Lytechinus pictus: one gene and its partner. The protein of the gene in region 1 purifies or fractionates together with the protein of each later gene. This does not show direct contact. Links are inferred from orthologs where the notes say so. Each region holds a gene or a part of one and is shown in the gene's direction. Other genes may lie near its edges.

Region 1 (7,800 bases):
AACGTTGTGCCATTGTCGACCGTCCAACAAATCTCCAACAAACTAGTTTCCAACTTTGTCAACGTTGTGCCATTGTCGGTTGTTCAGCAACTTTCCAGCGAACTAGTTTCCAACGTTGTGCCTCTGATGGCTGTTCAACAACTATCCAATCAAACGTGTTTCCAACGTTGTGACATTGTCGACCGTCCAACAAATCTCCAACAAACTAGTTTCCAACTTTGTCAACGTTGTGCCATTGTCGGTTGTTCAACAACTTTCCAGCGAACTAGTTTCCAACGTTGCCAACGTTGTGCCTTTGCTGGCTGTTCAACAACTATCCAATCAAACGTGTTTCCAACGTTGTGACATTGTCGACTGTCCAACAACTCTCCAACTAACAAGTTTCCAACGTTGCCAACGTCGTGTCATTGTTGATTGTCCATCAACTTTCCATCAAACTAGTTTCCAACGTCGATTCAACGTTAATCCATCAAGTTTTTCCAACGTCCAACGACTTTCAAGTTTCCAACGTGGAGCCAACGTTGGCTTGTTACCTGGGTAGGCTTTGGAATAAGTATGAATATTGGAAAACAGGAAACAGCTTTTGAAGTAATTAAATAAAAAACAATTTATAACTTGTTTATTACCAATCTACAAGAGCTATACAAATTAACACTCAAGGATGGTCACAGTGATTTTAATTTTACTGATGTAGAAATTTGTAAATTATTTGGATATATCAGGAGTACAACTCTTATAAGAAAACAAAGGGAATTTCAGTTTATGCTTTTACATGGAGCAATATATCATATATACAAAAGAACATTTGATGAGATTTGGTTTCGTGGGAGATAATTATTGTTCGTTTGGTTGTACAAAAACTGAATCGTACTTTCATATACTCATGGATTGCATAAAAAGTTCAACCTCTGTGGCAATTTTGTATTAATCATTTTTGTTTAGCTGAATTAAGAACTTTGAATTGGAGGGAAATATTTTTAGGATTACCTGGAAATTCTTGTCGAATTAATGTGTCAATTCTGTTGTTCTTTTTATTAAATATGCAATTTTTAATTCTAGAGCTGAAGGCCGGGTACCTTATTTTTTTTAAATTCACAAATATATTACGGGTTGTATATAGAAGAAGAAAGTCGCCTGGCAACGAAGTCAGGCACGTTAAGTTGACATGGCTCGGTGTAAAAATGGCAAAGGTAATAATGGCAGTGGTAAAAATGGCAGAGGTCAAAAATGGCAGAGATAATAATGGCAGAGGTAAAAATGGCAGAGGTGAAAATGGCAGAGGTAAAAATGGCAGAGGTAAAAATGGCAGAGGTAAAAATGGCAGAGGTAAAAATGGCAGAGGTAAAAATGGCAGAGGTAATAAAGGCAGAGGTAAAATGGCAGAGGTAATAATGGCAGAGGTAAAAATGGCAGAGGTAATAATGGCAGAGGTAAAAATGGCAGAGGTAATTAAAATGGCAGAGGTAAAAATGGCAGAGGTAATAAAGGCAGAGGTAAAATGGCAGAGGTAATAATGGCAGAGGTAAAAATGGCAGAAGTAATAATTGCAGAGGTAAAAATGGCAGAGGTCATAATGGTATAGGTAAAAAGGGTCTTAAACCCCCATTAAAAAAATCAAAAAGCCCCCGCATGTAAGCCCTACATTGATTAACTAAGAAAGGTTCTAATAAAATAAAAATAATGGAAAGGGTGACATTTTTAAAATCATAGATAGATCGTCTGCACCAAATTGATAATCTTTTGGCTGGAATATCTTATTTTTTCTGGACTCTCATGGACGGCCTTCTCATGTCAAATCGCTGTATTAATATTCAAGTTTGAAGCACACTCTTGATCGCAATTGCACTTAATTCATTAAAGGGGAAGTTCAACCTCAGTTAAAAGTCATTGTAGAATAGCAGAAAAAAATAAAATAATATTGGTGAGGGTTTTAGGAAATCAATCAAAGATTAAAAATGCTATACTTTTATATTTCAATGATGACGTCATTTGCGAGCAGTTTTCCCGTATTTGGTGTATAGAAAATATTAATGAAATGTAATTTTCTAGAAAAATCAAAATGTTTTTTTTTATCTTCAGTATATATCAATAGACAAATCATTTCACTTACGCTACTGAAATATTTTTTAAAACAATTATGAACCGTTTTGTAGTGCATAAAATGTCATGGGGCAGCTTCCCATATATGACGTCAAACCCGTTGTGAACCTGACATCCACTTGGACTAGCTGCATTGAGGTCCCATTGAGGTATTGCTCTACAGACTAAACAATAATTGCATTATTTACATTTAACGTATCACATTAATCAGGGGCAGATCCAGGATTTTCCAGGGGGGGGGCACATTTTCCTGAAAAATGACACGCAAAAAAAGTTTTCCACCTACTAACTCGTCCACAAAAATTATTAGCAAACAGAAAAGGGTCTCGCTTTAAAAAGGGGGCGCACTTGAGTTAGAACCATAGAGATGTATACATCTCTATGGTTAAGTTAGAACCAACGAACGTAGAGGGCAGCAACACACAAGCGTGTTGCTATAAGGAAGGTCAACTCGATACGCGCATGCAGCTGAGCTGCGCGCGTATTTTATTGTTCATGCCAACGAAATCAAATGCCGATCAAATACAACAACAAATTAGTAGCGATCAAAAAACGAATATGAAAGAATATGACTACAACAATATCAAAGATAACTTAAAAAATATGTTGAGGAATATACATACATATAAAAACATACTTTGATATTTAAAACTTTACAAATATAAGTTTCAGGAAACTAAAATCATTACCAAATCGGTTATTGTTGTTATCAGCGATTTCACCAGACGGCTGTATTAGGTGATTTGCGTCGAGACGATTTTTGTGACCACTCGCAAAGCATTTCGGGATTGAATATAACCACCTTATTTTCTCTGAGCTCTTCGCTGAACCCATCATCACAGTGCAGCTGCAGCGCAGCGCGCAGCCAATGCAATGCATCCGATGCATGGGTTGTTTTTCGCCGTCCATGCCATGGTAACGGACTCAGAGTTGAAATTTAGACCCGGATTTCGGGGATACAACGCCTTTATTTCAGATTTATAGACTTAAAAGTCAAATGACATTTAAAATTTGAAATCTAACCTTGAACAATCATCGTTGATAAACATCAGCCCTGAAGCCATTACACTTCAAATCAGGCCAGGCAAATTAGACGTCATTGTCTAAGTTGCTAGATCTATGACGAGTCGCCTGAAGCCCCAGCGCATCATCAACGTCACTAGCTAGCTGCGCGACCGGCCCAGACTCGGCGCACCCAGGCCAGAAAAATGACCTCGATTATTGCGGTGGTTGTCTATGCATTTATTAGTGGTGCAGCGAAATTCAGCAGAAGAAAATAAGAGATATGAGGTATCCTCGTCACAGGCTTAATATTCCAAAATGAGGAAAAATGTCAAAATCATGATTATTTAAGCTAAATATTTTCTTTAAAAATGAAAGTAATATTTTTAATATTTATATCCAGAATAACCGATCTAATAATTGTTCATTAAAAAATATTTGAAATTAACAAATGAAAAAAAATCAACTCGACAAATTTCCCAAAACCCCACCTTATTTTTTAAAGTGGTCACAAAATTCGAGCGGAGTTGACCTTCCTTAGAGCAACACGCTTGTGTGTTGCTGCCCTCTACGTTCGTTGGTTAGAACCGAAAATGTCTCCGATATTATTTAATAAACTTGCTTGTTTGCGTCGTTGACGTCAGATCAGCTGTACTGCTGGTAGACAGGAATAACCGTCGTTTCTGGGGATTTATTCAACAATCTCTGACATTTTACTGTAATCCCCATTTACCGACGGTAGGGTGTACGTGTGGGCTCGCATGTGTTCTCATTCCCTCCCTTTTGTCAATTCACAGTCCAAAGTTTAATGTAATTTTACACATCGAATTTACAATCTAAGGATGTATAAACAACAAACTTTTAATTGATGATATTCCAACATTTAAATACTTTAAACGATATAGATGAAAAAGGCATGAAAAATATACTTTACCGATGTTTAATTGGGTTGAACACGATAAAAATGGTCAAAATGGCAGCCAAACTATAAAATATTTACAAACGAACGTCAACAATCACGAATGTGATATCGATATTGCTTTCGATATTATACGATCTGCTCCATATGCGAACGAAACCGAAGATAAACGATACTAGTTATACTAGTACGAGTACTAGTTATAATCGCGATATATCGATTCGAGACATTAAGTTAATAACGACAATGACGTCATTCAAGATGGCAACTTGCAAGAAAAACCGTCAGGTCAGGTGAAAATGTCTTAGATGACAGATTTCTCAATCATCCAGAGGATTTTTTTCAATCACTCCGGCCCAAGGTATGCAATTACTTAAGTTATATATATTTCCCTGATAATGGAAACCATGAAACTTTCAATTTTGCTTAAAAAACAGTTTTAAATCGCGATCTATAAAACGCTAGTTCACTATACGTTGGCTGTAGGTACGGGGCCCCATCCCCTTCAGTCTATGTATGGTGAGTGGAGCCAACGTAGTTCAGCGGAACAACCAAAATACAGAGACTGAAGCTTTTGGTCTATACTGCTGGTTGCGTTCTAGGCGCTCCGCATTTTTTTCGCTGTTCACCGTTATTTTATGATGTAGCGCCATCAGCGATTATACGTGACATACAACCTGTTGATTTTTGGTACAATTTCCTATTATGCGCCGGCGACTTGAATCTAGACTGTTCGATAGGAAAAATTCGCATTTCAATTTTTGTTTGCGTAATTTCCACCGCAGTATTAAGGATCGGTCGGAGTAACTGGCTGAGATTTGGAGGTAAGCGTTTAAAATCCATTTTTATTACCTTTATTACCTTTATTACCGGATCTACTGGAAAAATGCAATTACTATTATGCAGTCGTGTTTCCAGGTCTATCACTGTTGCTATCTCCATCTAACTATTAAAATAACGTGTGCCTGTGTGCTGTGCCAGAGTTACTATTCCCAAGGGCAAGGGTGAGTATATTGCACTGCAGACCAAAACTTATAGATAAGTTCGTGCTGATTTTTAAAATTAGATTACATTATACGATTAAGATTACTAAATTTAGTATATTGTGAAGATTTAGGCGTGTTTCATATTCTCACATTCGTGTGATGAATGAAAACGTCAAAATTCATTATGAAATTACATGCGTTGTGCGAGGTTAGTATACTAACCTTGCATGTTGTGTGAGTGGGATCAAATCACTCACACAACTTCACAAGGCACAAGCATGCGAGGTTAGTTGTACAAATTTCGCACAACGCATGTCATTTCATAATGAATTTTGACGTTTTCATTCATCACACGAATGTGAGAGAATGACACATGCCAAAATCTTCACAATATACTAAATTTATTCATCTAACTCTTATCAGTGACATTGAATTCAATTTTAAAAATGTGCTCGAACGTATTTATAAAAAGGGATTTTAAACGCTTACCTCCAAATCTCAGCCAAGATACTCCGTCTGATCCTTAATACTGCGGTGGAAATTACGCAAACAATTGAAATGCGAATTTTTCCTATCGAACAGTCTAGATTCAAGTCGCCGGCGCATAATAGGAAATTGTACCAAAAAAATCAACAGGTTGCATCTCACGTATATAATCGCTGATGGCGCTACATCATAAAATAACGCTGAACAGCGAAAAAAATGCGGAGCAAATAGAACGCAACCAGCAGTACAGCTGATCTGATGTAAACGACGTAAACAAGCAAGTTTATTAAATTATATCGCACGCCCTCTCTGTGCGTATAGAGAAAACCAGCGAATTGGCTCCATGCCTGCTTCAACTTTAAGAAAAATCATCGATATATTAAAAGTACCAGAAAGACAGAGAGGAATTGAAATTGGCTTCATATCGTTTGGTAAGTTTCATATCCAAAGCTTACTTGATTTTAGATATAGTGGACATATGGAAGTCTTGCCAATAATAGGCCTCAAATTATTGCAAGTGCCGTGCCAGTGGTTATCCTGTGCACGGCGGCGGTAATGTACCCGTGGGTGGGATCAAATGTAGTCTTGAGGACTCCATGATGATGTCTTTTTAAAAAAATTTGACATATACTTCTTCATCATGGAGTCTTGAATCCCCGCCCATATATGCAAAAAATATGCATAAATGATCGTGATTTTATTATTCTCTACACCTTCCTACGCCTAATGCATAAGAAGGTTAAAAAAAATTTCCATCAAAATATGAAAAAATAAAGGTTTCTTACCAGACCGATGTCGTGTAGATCCCTCGATCCAAATGTACACAACGCAAATACATACAATAGGATCGTCCCTTGAACCGCTTACGTAGGACGTACGTCCAGTTAGCAATGCTGTTTTGAAGAACAATTTATAGATAAAATTATTATTTTACAAATAATAAAATTCATTACGTGATTATAAATAATGAGTATAATACTACTAATTATTTATAATCCCGTAATGAATTATCTCTTCATTGGGACGGCTCTACAGTAACAATACCACAATGGGGGTTTTAATCTACCTCTTTTTGCTTCTGTGTGCTTTCAATAGCAGTGAAAGCATAGAATGTCTACCCAATCTGCATAGAGAAAGAATGGGCTGTGAACTTTATCATGTGAAATACTTCTCTTCACGGATCCTATACTACTCTAACTCTTCATCAACTTTTCAGGTAGATATCTTGGTTTTTGGTGATATAAACCCCAACCCAGGACCTGAAAATGCAACCACATATCCTGTATCACCTGTTTCTTACAGTAGAGGTGAACTTCTACGTCTTCGACCGGATGCTTCTGATAATGCTTATTCATCTCATCATATCTCTCCTTCTCTTGTCCAACATATTGAATGGCTCGGAATCTTTAGAAAACCTTACAGGAGACATAACGCTCATAGAGGCAGGAAAGGGGGTTGTCGGAGAAGAAAAATCCCTTCATATTCCACACCGTCTGGTATCCCTGATCATCAACGTCTTTGTTTTGCTTCGTGGAATGCACATTCTATAAATTCTAAAAACAAGTCTACTGCTCCATGTGACTTTGTTATTAGTCATCGATTGGATATCTTTGTCTTGACCGAGACATGGTTAACTGGTGATCATCGTGATTCTCGCACCCTAGCTGATATTAAGAACACACTTCCTAATTATTCGTTGCATCACTTACCACGCGGTCACTCGAGAGCTGGTGGTGTTGGTGTTCTCCTTCGTGATGGGGTTAAGATGAAACTCAATGTTGGTCAAAGTTATAAATCTTTTGAACAATTGGACATGAACATTAGTTCCATGAGCACTTCATTCCATTTAGTAGTCATTTATCGCCCGCCCCCCTCCTAATAAGAAGAATAAACTTACTAGCGCAATGTTTCTGGAGGATTTTGGTAGCTTTGTTGAATTACTTTTGTCACAACCTTGCAAATTTCTTCTGGCTGGAGATTTCAATGTCCATTGGGACTCGGCAGGAGATTCTGAAGCAATTCTTTTCCGTGATATGGTGACTGCTCCTGGTTTTATGCAACATGTTAATGCTTCTACCCACATTGCTGGTCATACTTTGGATCTTTTAATAACTGACAGTGATGATTCTTTTGTTTCTTCCGTCTCTATTATTGAAGAGCTTCCTTCTGACCACGCAGCTGTGAAGTGCCTCATTGATATTGCCCACCCTCCCCTAATGAAGAAATTTCTGTGCTATCGTAAGTTACGCTCCGTGTATATATCGTCTTTTAAATCTGACATTGTGCGCTCTTCTCATACAGTCTCTC
Region 2 (7,024 bases), on another chromosome or scaffold:
GAACAAGATTATATCCAACAAAAGATTATTGCAAATCGAAGCGGGAGTTCTTTTGACGTTTAGAACTGAAAACGGGACATTCTATTCACCTATCTAATCATGAAAAGTATGGGGTTTTGCTACAGAAATGATGCGAGCGCGAAGTGCGAGCTGAAAATCTTTATATTCCGATCTGAGAAGCGGACAATTTGAGCACGATTTTAAATAAAGAACGAGTTGTGTAGCTCAATCTCGCTTGCTGATTTCTGTGTATAATTACCATCTTATTTTATTTTTGCACAAAGTCATGCGGAATTATTGGGGGGGGCAAAACGATGTTTGCCCCCAATATTTTCATTGGTGGGGCGATCGCCCCCCCAGGATCGACGCCTCTGTATATACAATGATACTCCATCATGAATCATTCGGAATACATCACCAATCCAGGTTTATATATTATCATTCAATTTTCATGTACATGATGTATAGGCCTATATACAGAATTTGGTATATATTGTGATGCTTTTCACTAAATCCAATGCAATTTGTAATGATGAGTAATTTTTATCTAACTACTTTGATGAAACTGAATATGATGCTTATGACCTGAATTAAAAAAGAGATCCTTCAAGACAGAGCTTTGGAAATAATTCTCCAGTTTTACAGGTATCGTTATCTTTGTTTTTAACTTCTTCCTGAGTGATCAGATGAATAATATTTAACTTAATGGAAGATGAAAATAAATCAAATTTTGTGGCGTAAACATTTAAACGTTAAAACAAAGGTACTGACAAACTGTATTTATACATTGAAAATGATATTGAGTGGTTTCGGGTCTAACGGATATACGTCTGGTTGCGTAATTATACACTCCCGGTACTAGCAACGGGTTTTAGCGAAGCTTTGGACTAAAATATCGAATCAACTTCATAAAACACTATAGTAGCTGTCTTACACTAAATGCCATAGAGGTGGCACAATGTGGAATGTGTAAAGAAGGAAAGTGACTGATCTTTTTTTTATTAGGGCATTGGAAAATAAGATCAAAATTAAAGGATTTGCTCTACGCTTTTGTATGATTCTGGGATTTTTAAATAAATTAAAGATTTCATGACATCTGTGGGCAACTGCCCCGCCCCATGCAGTCCACTCTGTAAGGGCATGCGATAAGCTTTGTTATGACCATTCAACAATAAAATGTATAACCAGGTGCCGCTGATCATTCTTGACCGGCGCCAATCTAGATTTGGTTGGCAATAGGCTCTTCTTCATTATTCTACCGGCGCCTATTTATTGGAACCAGGGGACGCTGATTATTCTTGACCGGCGCCGATTTAGAACAAGTACTGCTGATTATTTTTACCGACGTCACGTAAGATTCAGGCAGCGGCAATTCACAATCGACTGGCGCCGATTTAGAACCAGGAGGCGCCGATTATTCTTGACTGGCGCCGATTTTTAACCAGGTGGTGCTGATTATTCTTGTCCGGCGCCGATTTAGATTTAGGTGGAGCTGATTATTCTTGATCGGCGCCGGTTAAGACTCAGGCAGCGCCGATTTATAACCAGATGGCGCTGATTATTCTTGACCAGCCCCGATTTAGATATAGGTGGCGCTGATTATCCTTGATCGGCGCCGGTTACGAACTCAGTCAGGATTTTTCTTTACCGGCGCCGATTTGACCAGATGGCGCCGATTATTCTTGCCCGGCGCCGATTTAGATTTAGGTGGAGCTGATTATTCTTGATCGGCGCCGGTTAAGACTCTGGCAGCGCTGATTTATAACCAGATGGCGCTGATTATTCTTGTCCGGCCCCGATTTAGATTTAGGTGGCGCTGATTATCCTTAATCGGAGCCGGTTAAGAACTCAGGCAGCGCCGATTTTTCTTTACCGGCGCCGATTTGACCAGATGGCGCCAATTATTCTTGCCCGGCGCCGATTTAGATTTAGGTGGAGCTGATTATTCTTGATCGGCGCCGGTTAAGACTCTGGCAGCGCCGATTTATAACCAGATGGCGCTGATTATTCTTGTCCGGCCCCGAGTTAGATTTAGGTGGCGCTGATTATCCTTAATCGGCGCCGGTTAAGAACTCAGGCAGCGTCGATTTTTCTTGACTGGCGCTGATTTATAACCAAATGGCGCTGGTTATTCTTGATTGGCGCCAGTTATATGCAGGCAGCGCACTGCTGATTATTTTTAACAGGCGAAGTTGTTGGGAAAAGGGTAGTTAAAAGAAAAAATAAGGAAGATGATTATGATTGCGCTTTGCTGGGGGATAGTCTTTCCTTTACTGTTGCTAATATAATATTAGTGTATTATTTTTTAAGCGGCGCCTTTTCTTTTCTTTCCTTTATTTTTATTTTTCAAGCAGTGCCTTTTCTTTTCTTTTTTTTTGAACGGCGCCTTCGGCGCCGCTCAAATATTAGGGGGGGGCGCGCCCCCTGCGCCACCCCCTGGATCCGCCACTGATGTTCGGGGTATATTTTGTTAATTTCCATCATAACTTTGAAAGTTTATGGATCTGGTTCATGAAACTTGGACATAAGAGTAATCAAGTATTATTCAACACCCTGACTGAGTTTCAGGTCACATGACCAAGGTGAAAAGTCATTCAGGGTCAATGAACTTAGATTATGTCGGGGATCATCGAAACAAAATCTGAACCAAGATTGAATTTTTAAATATCATAACTCTGAAAGTATATAGTTCATGAAACTAGGACATTAAGACTAATCAAGCATGGCATCAGTGAACACCCTGCGTGAGTTTCAGGTCACATGACCACGGTCAATTAACTTTGGCCGTGTTGGGGGTATTTGTTGAATTGCCATCATAACTTTTAAAGTTTATGGATCTGGTTCATGAAAGATGAGGTTGTATCACTAATCGTCTTGCATAAGTCTTTGGTCACATGATAAACATGATAAAGGTCAAATATTATTTAGGGTCAGTGAACATAGTATTTTATCGTCATATTATGAATGGTGATTTTGTGAATGATTATTCTATTGTCGTTTTCAAAGTCACCATTGCTGCTGTATTGAATTGCGTAATGCAGGCGAGGATATTTGGAGGGGATGCGTCCTCTAGCCCCCCCCCCCCCCTCTCCCATGCTTTCGTCACTTATGATTAACACTGACATAACATTTTGAGGAATTTTGGTATAAATTCAGGAGGATACGTGTCCCACTGACACTACGAGCACGGAGCGCGTTTCTTCTTCCTCTTATCCTTCTTCTTTTTTTTACTCCTTTCCTTTCTTTGTCCGGGGGTAGATGTCCGGGAGAAGATATCCGGGGGTAGATGTCAGGGAGAAGATGTCCGGGGTAGATGTCCGTGCTGGGTTAAATGTCCAGGGGTAGATGTCCGGGGGTAAATGTCCAGGCCGGTAGATGTCCGGGGGTAGACGTCCGGGCTGGGGTAATATGTCCAGGGGTAGATGTCCGGGGAGTAGATGTCCGGGGGTAGATGTCCGGCGGTAAATATCCAGGGGGTAGATGTTCGGGGGTAGATCAATGCCCAGGAGTAGATTTCCGGGGGTAGATGTATGGGGGTAGATGCATGTCCGGCAGATCGATGTCCAGGGGTAGATGCATGTCCGGGGGTAGATGTCCGGCGATGGATGCCGAGGGGTATTCGGCCAGGATATAACAATACACCAGTCGGTGGACTGTACTTTATCAGAAGAAGAAGAAGAAGAAGAAGAAGAAGGATATTTTAACTGGAGGGAGGATAAGGTTATTTTCGAGGATGAATTTGACCCATGGAGAATTATATCTCTATGATTTGACCCCTCAGGAGATGCCTTTATAAATGCCGATTTATTTCTAAAATGGGCCGGTCGAGGGACGTTTTTCTGGTCAGATATGGATTGTAAGATATATAACCTATCTACTGGTGGTAAACATTGGACCCCTGAATTTCATCCGTATTTTTAATGTTTTTTTTTTTTTATTGCCATGGCCCGCGAGACCTGTTGAGCGCATGACTATAGTTCATTGTCGCAAGAGGGAGACGTTGCACTAATGCTTATTATCAAGGGTCAGAAATGGCGACCCTTTCACGGTAATCCGCCACTGAAAGCCTCCTGAAATACCGTGTTTTCCAGGAAGTAAGTAGAGTTTCCTATGTTATTAATGCGCTATTCACATGTAATAATCATCTTTGTTTCACTTGAATGTAATATGATGCGTAAGAAATGTATGTTCTAAGTTAGAATGGAAAATTACTCTGATCATCATTTTTTTCGCGTGTTTTTAAATGGATGACTGGTTTGTGTGGTCCCATATATTGTAAATTATTGAAGTAGATCTCGTATGACAGACCAAAGACAAGTCGGACAAACGACAACTTTTCATCTTATAATTTTCCATAGATGATACTGCACTTTGTTATTTTTTGAAAGGTATTCTGCAGTTAAAGCTGATATATACTGTTTATTATTTTTATCATAGCCTAGACTAGAGGACTCGACTCCTATTCCTAACCCAGGGGCAGGGGAGCTCTGATATTTTTTATGTGATTTTATTTTTAACTCCCATGGCCTGGGCGCTAGCGGCTACCTCGGGCGAAGTTCGTGCAGGCTCCACTCCACTTCACTACCGCTACACTTCGGGACGGTGAACCATTTCGGATATTTCGAGTGACAAAGGTGTGATAAAATGATGGTTTAAAATTAAAGTCTTTATTGTAAAAATTACAGAAAAAAAATATAACGAGAAAGATAAATAGCTTAATATCTTATTATTACCTGATGTACTGGAAAAATGCAGCCAACTTTCCAGGACTAGCTATCGTCCAAGCTCAATCTTCTTCCACAAGTATAATATATGAGTGTCAGTGTCCAGTGTACATGGTGCATTTGCAATCATTTTTTTTCAAATCAAATCATTCCCAAGGCCGGGTGACTGTACCATTCTCTATTCCAGAACTTATCAAGCCTGGCTTGGAAGGAGTTTACAGATGGAGCAGAGACAACTTCATTTGGTAGCGAGTTCCAGTCATGCACTATCTTACTCTACACCCGTATTTCACTCCGTGTCCATCCTCCGGTTATCCTCAAAATTTGTGATTTTGGGCCAGTAATGTATCGAATTCCTCACACGTATTATTCACGGCCGATTTCAAAGTATGCGCATATCGAGTGGACCTTCCTAATATAATAGCAACACTGATGTGTGTTGCTGCCCTCTACGTTCGTTGCATACAATGTTTTGAAATCGGCCTTGAATAATATGTGTGAGGAATTTGATACTGGCCCAAAATCACCAATTTTGAGGATAACCGGAGGATGGACACGGAGTGAAATACGGCATTCCTGTCAACTGTCCCGATTAAATCTGAAAAATACGATTTTCGAAATTTTAGACCCCCCAAAATCGGAATGTCCCGTTTTTTCAATTTTTGAAGGAGAGATTTCGTCATAAGCCAAATCCACCCGAAATCGCGGTTATTTGGCGTATTTATCGCAAAGTTCCAGCGAGTTGGCGGGCTGAGAGGTATTTCTCGCCACCGCGATGCGTTTCTCTCGCACAACATTATGCCCTGAATGTGCAGGTATTGATGGGTTTCCCGCCAGCGCAGCCCCGATGGCTTATTTGTCCGTGTATACGGCTCGGAGACTGGTGTCCTTTCTTTCGTAAATGACACTATCATGGCGTTGATGTAGTTCATTAAGAAATGGTAACCAGTCTAGCGCCTATATCCAAGTGCAGCGAAGACGTGACTGTGAACCGTGATTACAGCTGGAACTCCTAAAACAGGTTCATCATTGTTACTTTCTTTTTATTGTGATGATTTATGTTTGGACCCTTACACGTATATTTTTTCGTATGTTGAGTCTTTGTAATGTGTTTTTCGTTCCGGCTCTGTCACTAAGTTAAATCACGCGCAGTCGTTGAAAGCACGCGTGGCCATCGCCAGTGCAAACGGCTCGATAGGCCTTGTGTTGGCCGCAACTCTGGGCGTCGTGATTCGTGATTTATGTTGAAGTGCTTGGCCAAGTCTACCATCATGGCATGGCATTGGCTATCCAGCGAACAGTCTGAAATGCGAAAACGTATTTCAACATGAAAATATATCCCTCTCACAGCGGATACAAAAGATTTTATAATCCTAAGCATGATATTTGGATTGAAGTGAGGTGCTCTTTCATTTGATCTATCTAGACTGTAGTTCATGACTGTAGTTTGAAGTTTGTTTGAGAAAGATGAAATGAATTAATGGTTCAAAAGTGGGGTCTGCGCCTGCGCTCGCAGTCCGGCCCCCAGATCAGTTGATTTTATATTTAAAAAAAAAAGAATTTTAGATCGTTCAACACCTTTTTTTTTAATTGAAGAGATTCATTTTTTGTCTTGAAGTTGAAAGGAATTATGGAGGGCCATTAGAGACATAAAATGACCCTACAGGTGTGTTTATATATGTATAGAGTAATTCTGGTATCATTTAAAGCCTCCAATGTCCTCCAGAATGCCATTTTCCTTTCGATCCGCCCCTTGAAAACCCCGTCAGAGACGCTGCCCCTGGACCCCCGTCCAAGGGTGTTCCTATTTCAAATCTTCAAATGTTGGCAGGTATGATAACTTGACTGCAGGAACAACTGTATTTTTCCAGTAGATGCGGTATAAAGGTATAAAGGTATAAAGGTATGATACGGGTGTAGAGTAAGATATTAAGCTATTTATCTTTCTCGTTATATTTTTTTTCTGTTATTTTTACAATAAACCATCATTTTATCCCACCTTTGTCACTCAGAATATCTGAAATGGTTCACCGTCCCAAAGTTCGGGTAGGTGGAGCGTAGTGTAGCGGTAGTGAAGTGGAGTGGAGCCTGCACGAACTTCGCCCGAGGTAGCCAGCGGCTAGATATAGATTGTGCTGTTGGGCATGTGCGCAAATAGTCATGCGTTAATTTGCTCCAAGTGTTCTTGCATATTTTGAGTGGTTCGTTTAGTTACGTTTAGCGGTATCTTCATATTTTCTGGCAGCCGAATTGATGGTCTATCAATATGACATGTTTCCACGGCTCCTCCGGGAGGCACA

Evidence for each region. The genes of interacting proteins can lie anywhere in the genome.
Region 2: the proteins of ZZ-type zinc finger-containing protein 3-like (region 1) and YEATS domain-containing protein 2-like purify together in Homo sapiens (affinity purification with mass spectrometry; 3 studies listed by BioGRID, with this or other methods). This does not show direct contact. The link is inferred for Lytechinus pictus from reciprocal best matches to the Homo sapiens genes ZZZ3 and YEATS2.

The regions. Positions count from the first base shown.
Region 1 is NC_087259.1:1,649,597-1,657,396, forward strand, and holds the start of ZZ-type zinc finger-containing protein 3-like, read left to right. Parts: upstream 1-4,799; 5' UTR 4,800-4,845; intron 4,846-7,800.
Region 2 is NW_026974141.1:16,183,958-16,190,981, forward strand, and holds the start of YEATS domain-containing protein 2-like, read left to right. Parts: upstream 1-4,010; 5' UTR 4,011-4,094; intron 4,095-7,024. UniProt on the Homo sapiens protein: Chromatin reader component of the ATAC complex, a complex with histone acetyltransferase activity on histones H3 and H4. YEATS2 specifically recognizes and binds histone H3 crotonylated at 'Lys-27' (H3K27cr).